3 linked regions of the Oryctolagus cuniculus genome follow. The protein of the gene in region 1 purifies or fractionates together with the protein of each later gene. This does not show direct contact. Links are inferred from orthologs where the notes say so. Each region holds a gene or a part of one and is shown in the gene's direction. Other genes may lie near its edges. The genes, in order: CLTA, CLTCL1 and CLTC.

The links.
Region 2: the proteins of CLTA (region 1) and CLTCL1 purify together in Homo sapiens (co-immunoprecipitation; 3 studies listed by BioGRID and IntAct, with this or other methods). This does not show direct contact. The link is inferred for Oryctolagus cuniculus from reciprocal best matches to the Homo sapiens genes CLTA and CLTCL1.
Region 3: the proteins of CLTA (region 1) and CLTC purify together in Homo sapiens (co-immunoprecipitation; 6 studies listed by BioGRID and IntAct, with this or other methods). This does not show direct contact. The link is inferred for Oryctolagus cuniculus from reciprocal best matches to the Homo sapiens genes CLTA and CLTC.

The regions. Positions count from the first base shown.
Region 1 is NC_091432.1:199,050,244-199,054,478, forward strand, and holds the start of CLTA (clathrin light chain A), read left to right. Parts: upstream 1-1,428; 5' UTR 1,429-1,571; coding exon 1,572-1,788; intron 1,789-4,235. UniProt on the Homo sapiens protein: Clathrin is the major protein of the polyhedral coat of coated pits and vesicles.
Region 2 is NC_091452.1:27,014,776-27,018,422, reverse strand, and holds part of CLTCL1 (clathrin heavy chain 2), read left to right. Parts: intron 1-460; coding exon 461-598; intron 599-3,535; coding exon 3,536-3,647. UniProt on the Homo sapiens protein: Clathrin is the major protein of the polyhedral coat of coated pits and vesicles. Two different adapter protein complexes link the clathrin lattice either to the plasma membrane or to the trans-Golgi network.
Region 3 is NC_091448.1:34,977,424-34,981,070, forward strand, and holds part of CLTC (clathrin heavy chain 1), read left to right. Parts: intron 1-629; coding exon 630-775; intron 776-2,221; coding exon 2,222-2,405; intron 2,406-2,599; coding exon 2,600-2,792; intron 2,793-3,209; coding exon 3,210-3,367; intron 3,368-3,647. UniProt on the Homo sapiens protein: Clathrin is the major protein of the polyhedral coat of coated pits and vesicles. Two different adapter protein complexes link the clathrin lattice either to the plasma membrane or to the trans-Golgi network.

The DNA.
Region 1 (4,235 bases):
GAATATAAGTGGGGCCAGCACAGTGGTGTAGCAGGTAAAGTCGCTGCCTGTGGTGCCAGCATCCCACGTGGGTGCCAGTTCGAGTCCCAGCTGCTCCACTTCCGATCCAGTTCTCTGCTATGGCCTGGGAAAGCAGCAGAAGATGGCCTGGGTGCTTGGGCCCCTGCACCCACCTGGGAGACCCAGAGGAAGCTCCTGGCTCCTGGCTTTGGATTGGAACAGCTCTGGCCGTTGTGGCCATCTGGGGAGTGAACCAGCAGATGGATGACCTCTCTCTCTGCTCTCTGTAACCCTGCCTTTCAATAAATAAATCAAGAAATGTCTTTTTTTAAAAAATAAATAATTTTTAGGTAAATAGCTCTCTGTCAAAACACAGGTATTTATTTTTTTTAAAATCACCTTCTTGTCCCTTGCTGACTTCACTCTGGAGGCATCTCTGACCTCTAGTTGGTTTCTTTCTATTTTTGGCTTTTACTTTTTAGGGTGGTGGTGGTGTGGAGGATCTTTCTGTTGGCCACTCTTCAACATGAGCATGATGAACTGGGATCACTGTTGTTTCTACGGTGTTGACATTAGTCATGTTAGCAACCTGTCTCTGATGTAAAAGAAACGCTGAAAGAGCTTTCCTTCTAAAGAAAGCTCCTGCTGTCCTTAGCTGAGAAAGGTCCATACCAGAGGGTGTGGCTGGTACCCTCAGGGAAGTCCCCAAGAGACCTGGGTTTCCTCCTGGCCACTGGCTCCCTCCCAAACACCCAGGCCACAGTGTCCCCAAGAAGCAGGCCACCCTAAGGGATTTTCCAGTTTAGGAAAACGTCTGTCTTGCTCTGAAATGGTGCACTGGTTGCACAATGCTTTGCCAAGGATTTGTTCGTCTTTTAGTGAATACTTATGGAGGAGATCAATTGATCAGAGTGAATCAATTACATTTAAGTCAAGTCTGCCGTAAAGGAGCAAATTATGAATGAATTAAATATTTAAAAAAGATTTTTTTAAAAAGCCAGCAGCATAGATCCTAAAAAGGATTCCCTTTTCCGATAATCCCGGGAAGGAGGCAGCGCAGGATCCGTGTTCCATTTTACAAACGAGGAAACTGAGGTTCAGAAAACCTAAGTGGCTTATCTCTTCTGTGGCTGGCCAACTGCGGCCGGCCGAACGACCCCTCACCTTCCGGCGCAGCACTCCAGTCCCCTCAGAAGCGGCTGTTCCCGGACAGTCCAGCTCCCGAGGGCCGCGAGGAGTACGCCGCTTTCCGTCAGTCGGCACTTCCGCCTCCCTGGCCCGGGGGCTCACCTCCTTCACCTCCGAATCACGAGTTGTCGGCGGCGGCCCGCCCCTCCGACTGCTGATTGGGTAGCTCCGAAACCACTTTTGCCCTCTGATTGGCTGTTCTGTTTTCGGCTCTCCCACACCGCCAAGACCAACCGGATATAGGGGCAGGGCTTCCGCTTCCACCTCCTCCCTCCTCCCGCTGTGTTCCGATCGCAGTCGCCACCACAGCGGCCGCTGCCGGGCGCGGTGTCGGTGTGTCGGTTGGTTTATCTTTCAGTGTTGGTGCCGTTGAATTGCCCGCCATGGCTGAGCTAGATCCGTTCGGCACTCCCGCCGGTGCTCCTGGCGGTCCAGCGCTGGGGAACGGGCTGGCCGGAGCGGGCGAAGAAGATCCGGCCGCGGCCTTCTTGGCGCAGCAGGAGAGCGAGATTGCGGGCATCGAGAACGACGAGGCCTTCGCCATCCTGGACGGCGGCGCCCCCGGGCCTCAGCCGCACGGCGAGCCGCCGGGGGGTCCGGGTGAGAGGGCGGGCGCGTTTGCGGCGGGAGGACTTGCCGGGGAAACTCGGCCCGGAGTTGGGTCCGAGCACTTCCGTACGACTCGTGTTTCTTGCCAGGAGGCTGGGGCGGAGTGCAAAGAGGAAACGAGACCCCGGCCCAGTCATGCAGGAGCCTGGGCTCGGGAAGTCCGCTCCGTTCCGAGTGTGCGTGTGTGTGTGTGTGTGTGAGAGAGAGAGAGAGAGAGAGAGAGAGTGTGTGTGTGCTAGCGCTGCTGGGCGCCGGCCGAGCGAGAACGCAGAGAAAATCAAGTGACTGGGAGGCTTGCAGCCCCGGAGAAGCCCGTTCAATTCAGCAACTTTTAATTAAGCACTTGCTGTGCCTTAAGCCTGGTTTCTGAAGCCGCATTGGCGTACTCTCGCCAGACTCCCAGGCAAGTCTGAGCCCAGCACGGAACCTGTTATCAGGAAATGAGGGCAGGAAACCTAAGAATAGTAGTGTCTTTTTTGGAAACAAACAAGAATGGCAGTGCAGTTCAGCATTTAAGTACATAGGGCGTTGGGTTACGGGGAGGAAGGGAGGAGTGAGTAGGGAACCGAAGAAAGCAGGGCGAGAAAGCATGGAGAAAGAAACTCCGGTCAGGACTTCCGAGCTCCTCGGCTTCTGGGAGCAGCTTCGGTAGTTATTGCCTAAACAGAGCCCACGATTAAACCTGCACCAGCCAGGGAGGGAAGCAGAGGTGAACAGGCGACTGCTGTGTGGCCTCCACTCCCCCCCACCCCACCTCCCGGCCGAACAAATAAGAGTTGGGTGGGATGACAATTTGACCTTCGACTGCCTTAACCTGTGAAGTGCCTAGGATTGTGGTGTAGAAGCAGAGGGTGAATTGAAAAAAAAACAAACAAACTATTTAGTAGTATGGGGAAGAAGGAAATGAGTGGAGATGAGATATGGCTTTACCTTTCCTTGAAAAAATATTCCAGTAAAGGAGAGTAGGGCACTGTTGGCAAATGGGAGTGTTTCTGCTACCCGAAACCGAGACCTCTGAGGTCAGGCAGTCACCTAAAGAAGCAGGTGGGTGTGGGGCAGCCAGGGGCAAGCAGGTTGGCCTGAAGTGGGTTGTGACTGTGAGATAAAGTTGGCTTCCAGTGTTTGGGGGGGTATTTTGTCATTGCCTGAGAGTTTAAAATCGACCTTTGGCTTGCCTCCTCACTTACTAGAAAACTAAATCCTAGTGAAAAGTGACTTGCTTAAAAAAGGGCATCAGCTGGGCCCCAAGTCTCCCTCCCTTTAGATGGGACCGCCCCCTTACAGTGTTTTAGCTGGGGTGTGCTGGGGTCAGAGAGAGGCAGTTGTGGCTATAGGACCGAGCAGAGAGAAGCAGCACCCCTAGGAGACTCTCCTAGTTGAGGGACAGTGTAACTCTATTCCATCCCCATCACCCAGCCTGTTCCTGACACTGCTCGTGTACATAAAAACTGGCAAAGTGTTAGCTCCAAGAGTCCTATGTAAGCCAGCAGGAGTTGGTGCTGGGCAGTTTGGGAAGGTAAAAGGAGAGAATGCGGTCGGATATGTGAGTCTTGTACATCAGGCCTTCAGGAAAGGGAAGGAAGGGGTTGACTGCTGACTTAGTTCCTGGGAAGAACTTTATTAGGGAACTAAGCATTTAGTGACTTAAAGCCCTGACCATGCATTGAGATTGGTAAGAGTGCAGGGGTCAGCACTTCCTTTGGGAATTAGAGCAGGAGTTGGGCACTTTCTGTCTTTCAGAAACACTCTAGTGGTTACAGGTTTTGTACTTTCCACTGCTGCTTGAATGAGTTTAGGTTTGTTGTCTTAGGCAGTTTTTATGTAGTTAACCACTACATTTTCTGCATAATGTGTAGCACATTGCACTTATAGGATTACATTAAAGCATAGAGAGTGCTTGCTGGCATGTAGTAAGCATCCCTTGGCTTCTAGGTACTATTGCTCCCTGGGGGTAGGAGGAGAAAGCAGTTTGAGGCCTGTAGGCTTGGGGGTGTACTGAGGAAACCGAGTGATTATAGGTGGGAGGTCTCTGTCATGTGTCCTGTAGAAGATACATGGGCAATCGGCTGTAACAGATTGAGGAGAGAGGAAAATAGCTAAGCTTGCCCAGCCTTGGGGGAAAAGCTCCCATGGAGGATGGGCCTAGGTAGAAACCAGAGGAGTTAGGCCTGAGCCCTGGTTCACTCTTGAAATTAGGAGATTCAGAGAAGGAAATGTTGGGAAGCCAGAGATCAGCAGCTCAGTGAAGTGGCATGAGCAATATTGAGGAAGAACGTGTGGTCCGGAGGGAGGCAACCCAAGTCCAGCTGAGGTGGGAGAATGAGGCGGAGCAGGGAGCTGTAGAAAGAGCATATCACTGTGGTGCTGTCTGTTATGTTTCTGACAAGTGCTTAGGGAAGGAAAAAGAAGAGAAGTAGGTGAATTAGTCTTGCTGGAAG
Region 2 (3,647 bases), on another chromosome or scaffold:
ACTGGTTTACTCCCCAAATGGCCAGGCCAAAACCAAAGGCCTGGAACTCCATCCAGGTCTCCCACTTGGGTGGCAGGGGCCCAAGCATTGAGCCATCTTCCACTGATTTCCCAGGTGCATTAGCAGGGAACTGGATTGAAAGCAGAGTGGCCAGGACTCAAACCAGTTCTCCAAGATGGGAGGCGCACGTCACAGGCAGTGGCTTAACCCACTGCGCCACAGCACCTGTCCCATCCAGTTTTAACCCTTGATGACATTTTGTATTTTAGTGTTTTTAAATTACACAGTTACTGTTTACATTAATAATGCTCATGAATTACATGAATTTTGATGACCTAGGAATATGCAATGGAAGAAAACAGTTGTTGAGTTTCTAAAAGGGGTTCTATTTCAGGACCTATTTCAGTAGGAAAAATGGAGACTTTGCTCTGGGTGAAAATGTGTCTTGGATCTGTTTCAGATTGTGGACATTTTCATGGAAAACAGCTTAATTCAGCAGTGTACTTCCTTCTTGCTGGATGCCTTGAAGAACAATCAGCCAGCTGAGGGGCATCTGCAGACGCGGCTGTTGGAGATGAACCTGATTCACGCACCCCAGGCAAGTGACACTTGTAGGCCCACGCCGAGGGGCAGAGCACCCGGGGCACCTCTGTGCAGTGGGCCTGGGTGCAGATGGCTGTGTGCTGGGTTGCACTCCTGCCAGAGGTTTGTTTGTTTCATTATGGTGATATAGACGTCACAGTTTACCTATTTAACAGTTTTAAGTATATATTCAGTGGCATCAAGAACACCCCCATGATTATGCGACCATTACTGCTATACGTTTCCCAGACAAGAACTGTGTAACATTTGAGCAAGAATTCCCTGTTCCCTCCTGCCCCAAGCCCCTGGCCACCACAGCTGTGCTGCTCTTGGTCTCTGTGAATTTGCCTGTCCCAGGTACTTCCCATAAATGAAATCGTAAAATGTTTATCCTTGTATCGTTTTTTCACTTAACATATTTTTTAAAGATTTATTTATTTATTTGAAAGGCAGAGTTACAGAGAGAGAGATCTTCCATCTGCTAGTTCACTCCCCAATTGGCCACAACGGCTGTAGCTGTGCCGATACAAAGCCAGAAGCCAGGAGCTTCCTCCCAATCTTCCCATGCAGGTGCAGGGGTCCAAGGACTTGGGCCATCTTCTACTGCTTTCCCAGGCCAAGCAGAGAGCTGGATCAGAAATGGAGCAGCTGGGACTTGAACTGGTACCCGTATGGGATGCTGGCACTAAAGATGGCGGCTTTACCCACTACGCCACAGCATTGACCCCTTATTTTCCTTTTTTAAAAAATAAGAGGCATTTTTGGGCTGGCGCTGTGGTGTAGCAGGTAAAGCCACTGCCTGCAGTGGGGAGGGTCCTGGCTTCTGGCTCTGATCAGCGCAGCTCTGGCCATTGTGGCCAGTTGGGGAGTGAGCCAGTGGGTGGAACACACCTCTTTCTCTCTGCTTCTTCTCTCTCTGTGTAACTCTTTGAAATAATAAAATAAATCTTATTTTATTTATTTGAAAGGCAGTTACAGAGAGGTAGAGGCAGAGAGAGAGAGAGGTCTTCTATCTGTTGGTTCACTTCCCAAATGGCCCCAACAGCCAGAACTGTGCCGATCCATAGCCAGGATCCAGGAGCTTCTTCTGGGTCTTTCACGTGGGTGCAGGAGCCCAAGGACTTGGGCCGTCTTCTGCTGCTTTCCCAGGCCACAGCAGAGAGCTGGATCGGAAGTGGAGCAGCCGGGACTCGAACCAGTGCCCATATACAATGCTGGCAATGCAGGCAGTGGCTTTACCTGCTAGACCACAACACTGGCCCCTTTGATTTTTTTTGAAAGATTTTTTATTTACTTGAAAGGCAGAGTTAGAGAGAGATCTTCCATCCTCTGATTCACTCCCCAAATGGCCACAATGGCCAGAGCTGGCTGGTCTGAAGCCAGGAGCTTCCTCTAGGCCTCCCACATGGGTGTAGGGACCCAAGGACTTGGGCCATCCTCCCTTGCTCTCCCAGGCACATTAGCAGGGAAGTGGATCGGAGGTGGAACAGCCAGGACTCGAACCGTTGCCTACATAGGATGCCAGTATCATAGGCAGTGGCTTAACCCTCTGCTGCACAGCACTGGTCCATATATATATATATATATATATGTATGTATATATATGTGTGTATATATATATATGTATGTGTGTGTGTATATATATATGTGTGTATATATATATATATATATAAATACACACACTCATACATGCCAGTTTTTAGCAAATGAAGTTTGAAACCAAAGCGAAGAGGACTCAGGAACTCCACAGACAGACCCTAGGGAATGCCAGTGCCACAGGCGGGCAGCCTGTCCGGCAGGCAGCTAGACACAGTGCCTGGGTTGTTGGGGTTGTCCTCTCTGGATGAGAGGCACTGGAGATGCCCTCTGCCTTTGCTTTTCTGTGTTTTCTGAGTTCTCTAAAACACACCATGGCTCTGATAAGGAACAGGTGTTTGGAAGGGAGATGAATGAGGACCTATGGAAGGAAGCCAAGGTCAAGGGCACAGACAAGTGCTGTTTGTGCCCCAGCTTTTCTCTCAGGACTTGGTGTGCATCGTGTGCTCCGTGGGGAGCCCAGGATATGTGCAGCCCTGGTACAGTGTGGTGCAGGCTGCATCTGAGGTTGCTGTGTATGTGACTGGTCCCACACTGGGCTGCTGTTCTCCCAGCCTGGAAGACATAGGAAACAGTGTGCTGGACGGCAGGTAGGGGCTATGCCTCCTCCAGGCTGGCTCCTGGGTGCTGGGTGGAGGTGCTGGGTCTTATTATTCAAGGGTCAGAGAAACAGAGCTCCCATCCACTGGCTCCACTCCTTCACCAGCCAAGTAACTGCAATGGAACAGGACTGGACTGGGCTGATGTCAGGAACTGGAACTCATCCCCTGTTGCCTCCCAGGGTCTACATTAGCAGAAATCTGGAATCAGGAGCTAGAGAAAGGACTCAAATCCAGGCACTCCATTGTGGGATGCGGGCATCTTAATCAAACACCTGTTTTATTAAATGCAACCCCAAGTCCCTAAGTCTACCCTTAGGGAAGTCTGCTAAGCACAAGTGAGATTTGTTACTTCCAGACCTCACTGTCCCTAGTCTGAGTTTTGAGCTCCTCAGAGGAGGGTCTGACTCACACGTCAGTCTTACCGTAGAGAACCTTGCAGGAAAACAATCACCAGAAAGTCCCAAGAGCGACCAGGTCCATCCCAATCGTGGTGCCGTCTGGAGCCTTGGCCTCCCTCACACACGCAGTGCTCCGGCAACACATGAAGGGCCTCAGGTGCCTGGAAGGGAGCCAGGGCTCTGCTTGGGACCTGCCAGCGCTACTGCCACTGCCGCCCCTGGATTTGTGGACGTGGGCAGGAGCCCATGAGCGCTGGTTCCTGAGCTGTCCCTCACACTGGGGACATGGCTGAACGGTGGCTCTGCGGAGGTGACGGCCACAAAGCAGGCTTTCTTATGCTCTCACTGTTTTTGTAGGTTGCAGATGCCATCCTTGGAAATCAGATGTTTACGCATTATGATCGGGCCCACATTGGCCAGCTGTGTGAGAAGGCAGGCCTCCTGCAGCGGGCTCTGGAGCACTACACCG
Region 3 (3,647 bases), on another chromosome or scaffold:
CTGGACTGGAAGAGGAGCAACCGGGACTAGAACTCAGCGCCTGTATGGGATGGATTAGCCAAGTGAGCCATGGCGCCGGCCCCAAAATATTTTTAAATTCCTAAAACTTGAGAGTTGTTATAATTGTTAAATTCTCTTGATAAAGATATAAGTAAAATATTTGGGAAAAGCACAGATTAAAAGCTATTAATTATTCATTCCTTTCATAGGATCCATTTCCAAGGAACATTCCAAAGTAGATCAAAAGCTTCCTGGAAGTGATATTTATTATAGCATCTGAGAACTATGCAAATAGCCAGGAATAGAGCAATTACTGACTTTAAAATACCATACCTATGAAGCTGAATTATATGCAGCCATTAAAGTGATGATGATGATGAATGTTAGTATAGATAATGTATGAATTAGGGAAAAGACAAAAAGTTACAGTTAGAGTGATTTTTTTCAGCAGAGTAGAATTACATATAATGTACATTCATGTACTGTGGTGAGTTTAAATGTGTTTTTCCTATTTCATTCTTTACTACATGTTTCAAGCTTTCCAGTAAGAGGCCAAGTTATTCTTATTAGGTAATGTTTTTTAAGACTGTCTTGAGTTTTAGTACTTATTCCTTATATATGCTCGGTAGGTTGTGCAGACAGCTTTGTCAGAAACTCAAGACCCTGAAGAAGTGTCAGTAACTGTTAAGGCTTTCATGACTGCAGACCTTCCTAATGAACTCATTGAACTGCTGGAGAAAATTGTCCTTGATAACTCTGTATTCAGTGAACACAGGTATGCAATCAGAAGATCCATTGCTATTATGTTCACCCTTTAATTATGATCTGTCAGTTTGGGAAAGGAACAGAGACCAAGATTAGAGAAGGTTGCTTAAATTTGCTCTCTTGTAATATTCCCTTCTCACCCCACTATAGTCATAATGGTTATTCTTTACTACAAATAAGTTTTCTAAATACTGCTTTTAAACGTCTTCCTCCCTCTCCTCTACCCTTTTCTTCCCTCTTTATCATGCATCCTTTCCTTTCCTTAGTTCACTCTCCTTTTTCTTGTGTAAAACCCTATGTTGTAGCATCAGCTAGAGCCTGGATCCTCTGCACAGTCACTGTGGTGTGAGTCTTTACAAGATGGTCCATGAATTCCTGATGGGGAGATTTGGTGAATACAATGTGTTTCTAGAGGCAGGGGGGTCAACAAGTTGTAGGTCTTGGAGATGTCATCAAAGGTGGTCTTGGCAAAGTTGCCCATGATAGCATTGCAGCCTCTGGCTGAGGTGTAGGAGTCATCAATGGCAGCCATCAGCAGCAGCATCTTGGGGGCGGGGGCCCAGATGATGTCAGTGTCTCTGGGGCAGCAATAACACATAACAGCACAGAGCCTTAGCGTTCAATCACCTGGCAAGGCATGGTATGGGTCTTGCTCACCTGTTTCCCTATTAGCTTCTTTGCACTGGCACAGTGGAGACCTTGGCCAGGATGATGGTTCTTTGAATGACATTGGCTACCTCTTTGGGACACTTGACACCCCAGCTGACCTGGCCATTGTTGTACACAGTGGCAACAAATACCTTGAACCTGATCTACTGGTCAGTGTGTATCTGCTTTTGCCCTGGCATAATTTTTTTTTTTTTTTAAGATTTCATTTGTTTACTTGAAAGAGTTACAGAAAGGCAGAGAGAGAGAGAGAGTGGTCTTCCATCCGCTGGTTCACTTCCCAGATGGCTGCAGTGGCTGGAGCTGCGCCAATCTGAAGCCAGGAGCCTGGATGTTCTTCTGGGTCTCCCAAGGACTTGGGCCATCTTCTACTCCTTTCCCAGGCCATAGCAGAGAGCTGGATCAGAAGTGGAGCAGCTGGGACTCGAACTGGCACCCATATGGGATGCTGGCATTGCAGGCGGGGGCTCTACCCACTACGCCACAGTGTTGGCCCTGCCCTAGCATAATCTTTAAAACTTCATCCTTGAGGGATGGCCTGGGGAAAACTCGGTGATCTCAAATTCTTTGTGAGCAAGAGAAATACATAGATGGCCTCCAGGGACTTGATCTTCATGTCTTTTACCAGGCAGCCCAGCTTGGTAACAGGGAGGCACTCAGTGTCCTCGGCCTTGCCTCTATGAGCTTTGCAGCTCCCATTCCAGAGCCTCTGGACCCTCCTACTGCACCCTTGTCTTCTGCCATTTGATATTCTCTTAGAGAAGAAGCTGAATGTCTTTCTTTCTTAAAGGAATTTGCAAAATCTCCTCATTCTCACTGCAATTAAGGCTGACCGTACACGTGTTATGGAGTATATTAACCGCCTGGATAATTATGATGCTCCAGATATTGCCAATATTGCCATCAGCAATGAGCTCTTTGAAGAAGCATTTGCTATTTTCCGGAAATTTGATGTCAATACTTCAGCAGTGCAGGTATATCTTCAGATTCTATGTAAATTGAATTAATGTAATGCCTTGTTTTTATTCAGAGCATGCATTGACCTATGAGGTTGGGCTTAACTAATTACTGTGGAGTAGAAAGGCAATACAGTGCTAACAGCCTAAATGTAATTGCTTTGGTTAAGACCCGTTTTACTGTAAATATAATTTAAAAATGGATTGCCTAGGTCTTGATTGAACATATTGGAAACTTGGACCGGGCATATGAGTTTGCTGAACGCTGCAATGAACCTGCGGTCTGGAGTCAACTTGCAAAAGCCCAGTTGCAGAAAGGAATGGTGAAAGAAGCCATTGATTCTTACATTAAAGCTGATGATCCTTCATCATACATGGAAGTCGTTCAGGCTGCCAATACTAGTGGTATGACTTGTTACCTTGATGTGCTTGAGACCTCAGAAAATGATCATGCTAAGCATTTCCTTTCAACTAGGAATTGAATTCTGAAAAACTTACATCCTTCCATCTTAGTCCAGCTAAAGACAGGCTGCATTTCATGAACTTAAAGATATGTGACGAAGATTAATTTTCTGTTTTGTAGTCTACAAGTTCTCATCTTACAACCGTAAATGAAAAAGCAATTCAGTTGTTTATTTGGTCAGTGATAATACAGATATTTAATAGCATATTTGAAATTTTAGATGCATTGCATGGTTCACATTTGTTATTCTCTGTAATGTTTCCTTTAAAAGGCAATTTAGAGCAATTCTCATTTACTTGGGTGATAAAATATGCTAGGATGCTAGTGTTCGGATTTATTTTTTCTTTTTCTGTACTTAGGAAACTGGGAAGAGCTGGTGAAGTACTTGCAGATGGCCCGTAAAAAGGCCCGAGAGTCTTATGTGGAGACGGAGTTGATATTTGCACTGGCCAAAACTAACCGTCTCGCGGAGTTAGAAGAGTTCATCAATGGGCCAAACAATGCTCACATCCAGCAAGTGGGTTTCCTGTTCATACATTCTTCCCAGTCTTTATTTACTTATTATTTATTAGAGAATTCTAAACTGTTTATTCTCCATAAGCCCACAGTAGCCAGGACCCCAATTGTTTGAGCTATCACTACTGTTTCCTAGGTTTACCTTAGTGGGAAGCTGGACTCAGGAGCCAGAGCTAGATATTGTTCCCAAATTCTCTAACGAGCATTGTAATAGCATCTTAAAGCTGTAAAAAATACTCTGTCTCTGCCTCTCTCTGGGTAGCTCTTAACTCAAAATAAAT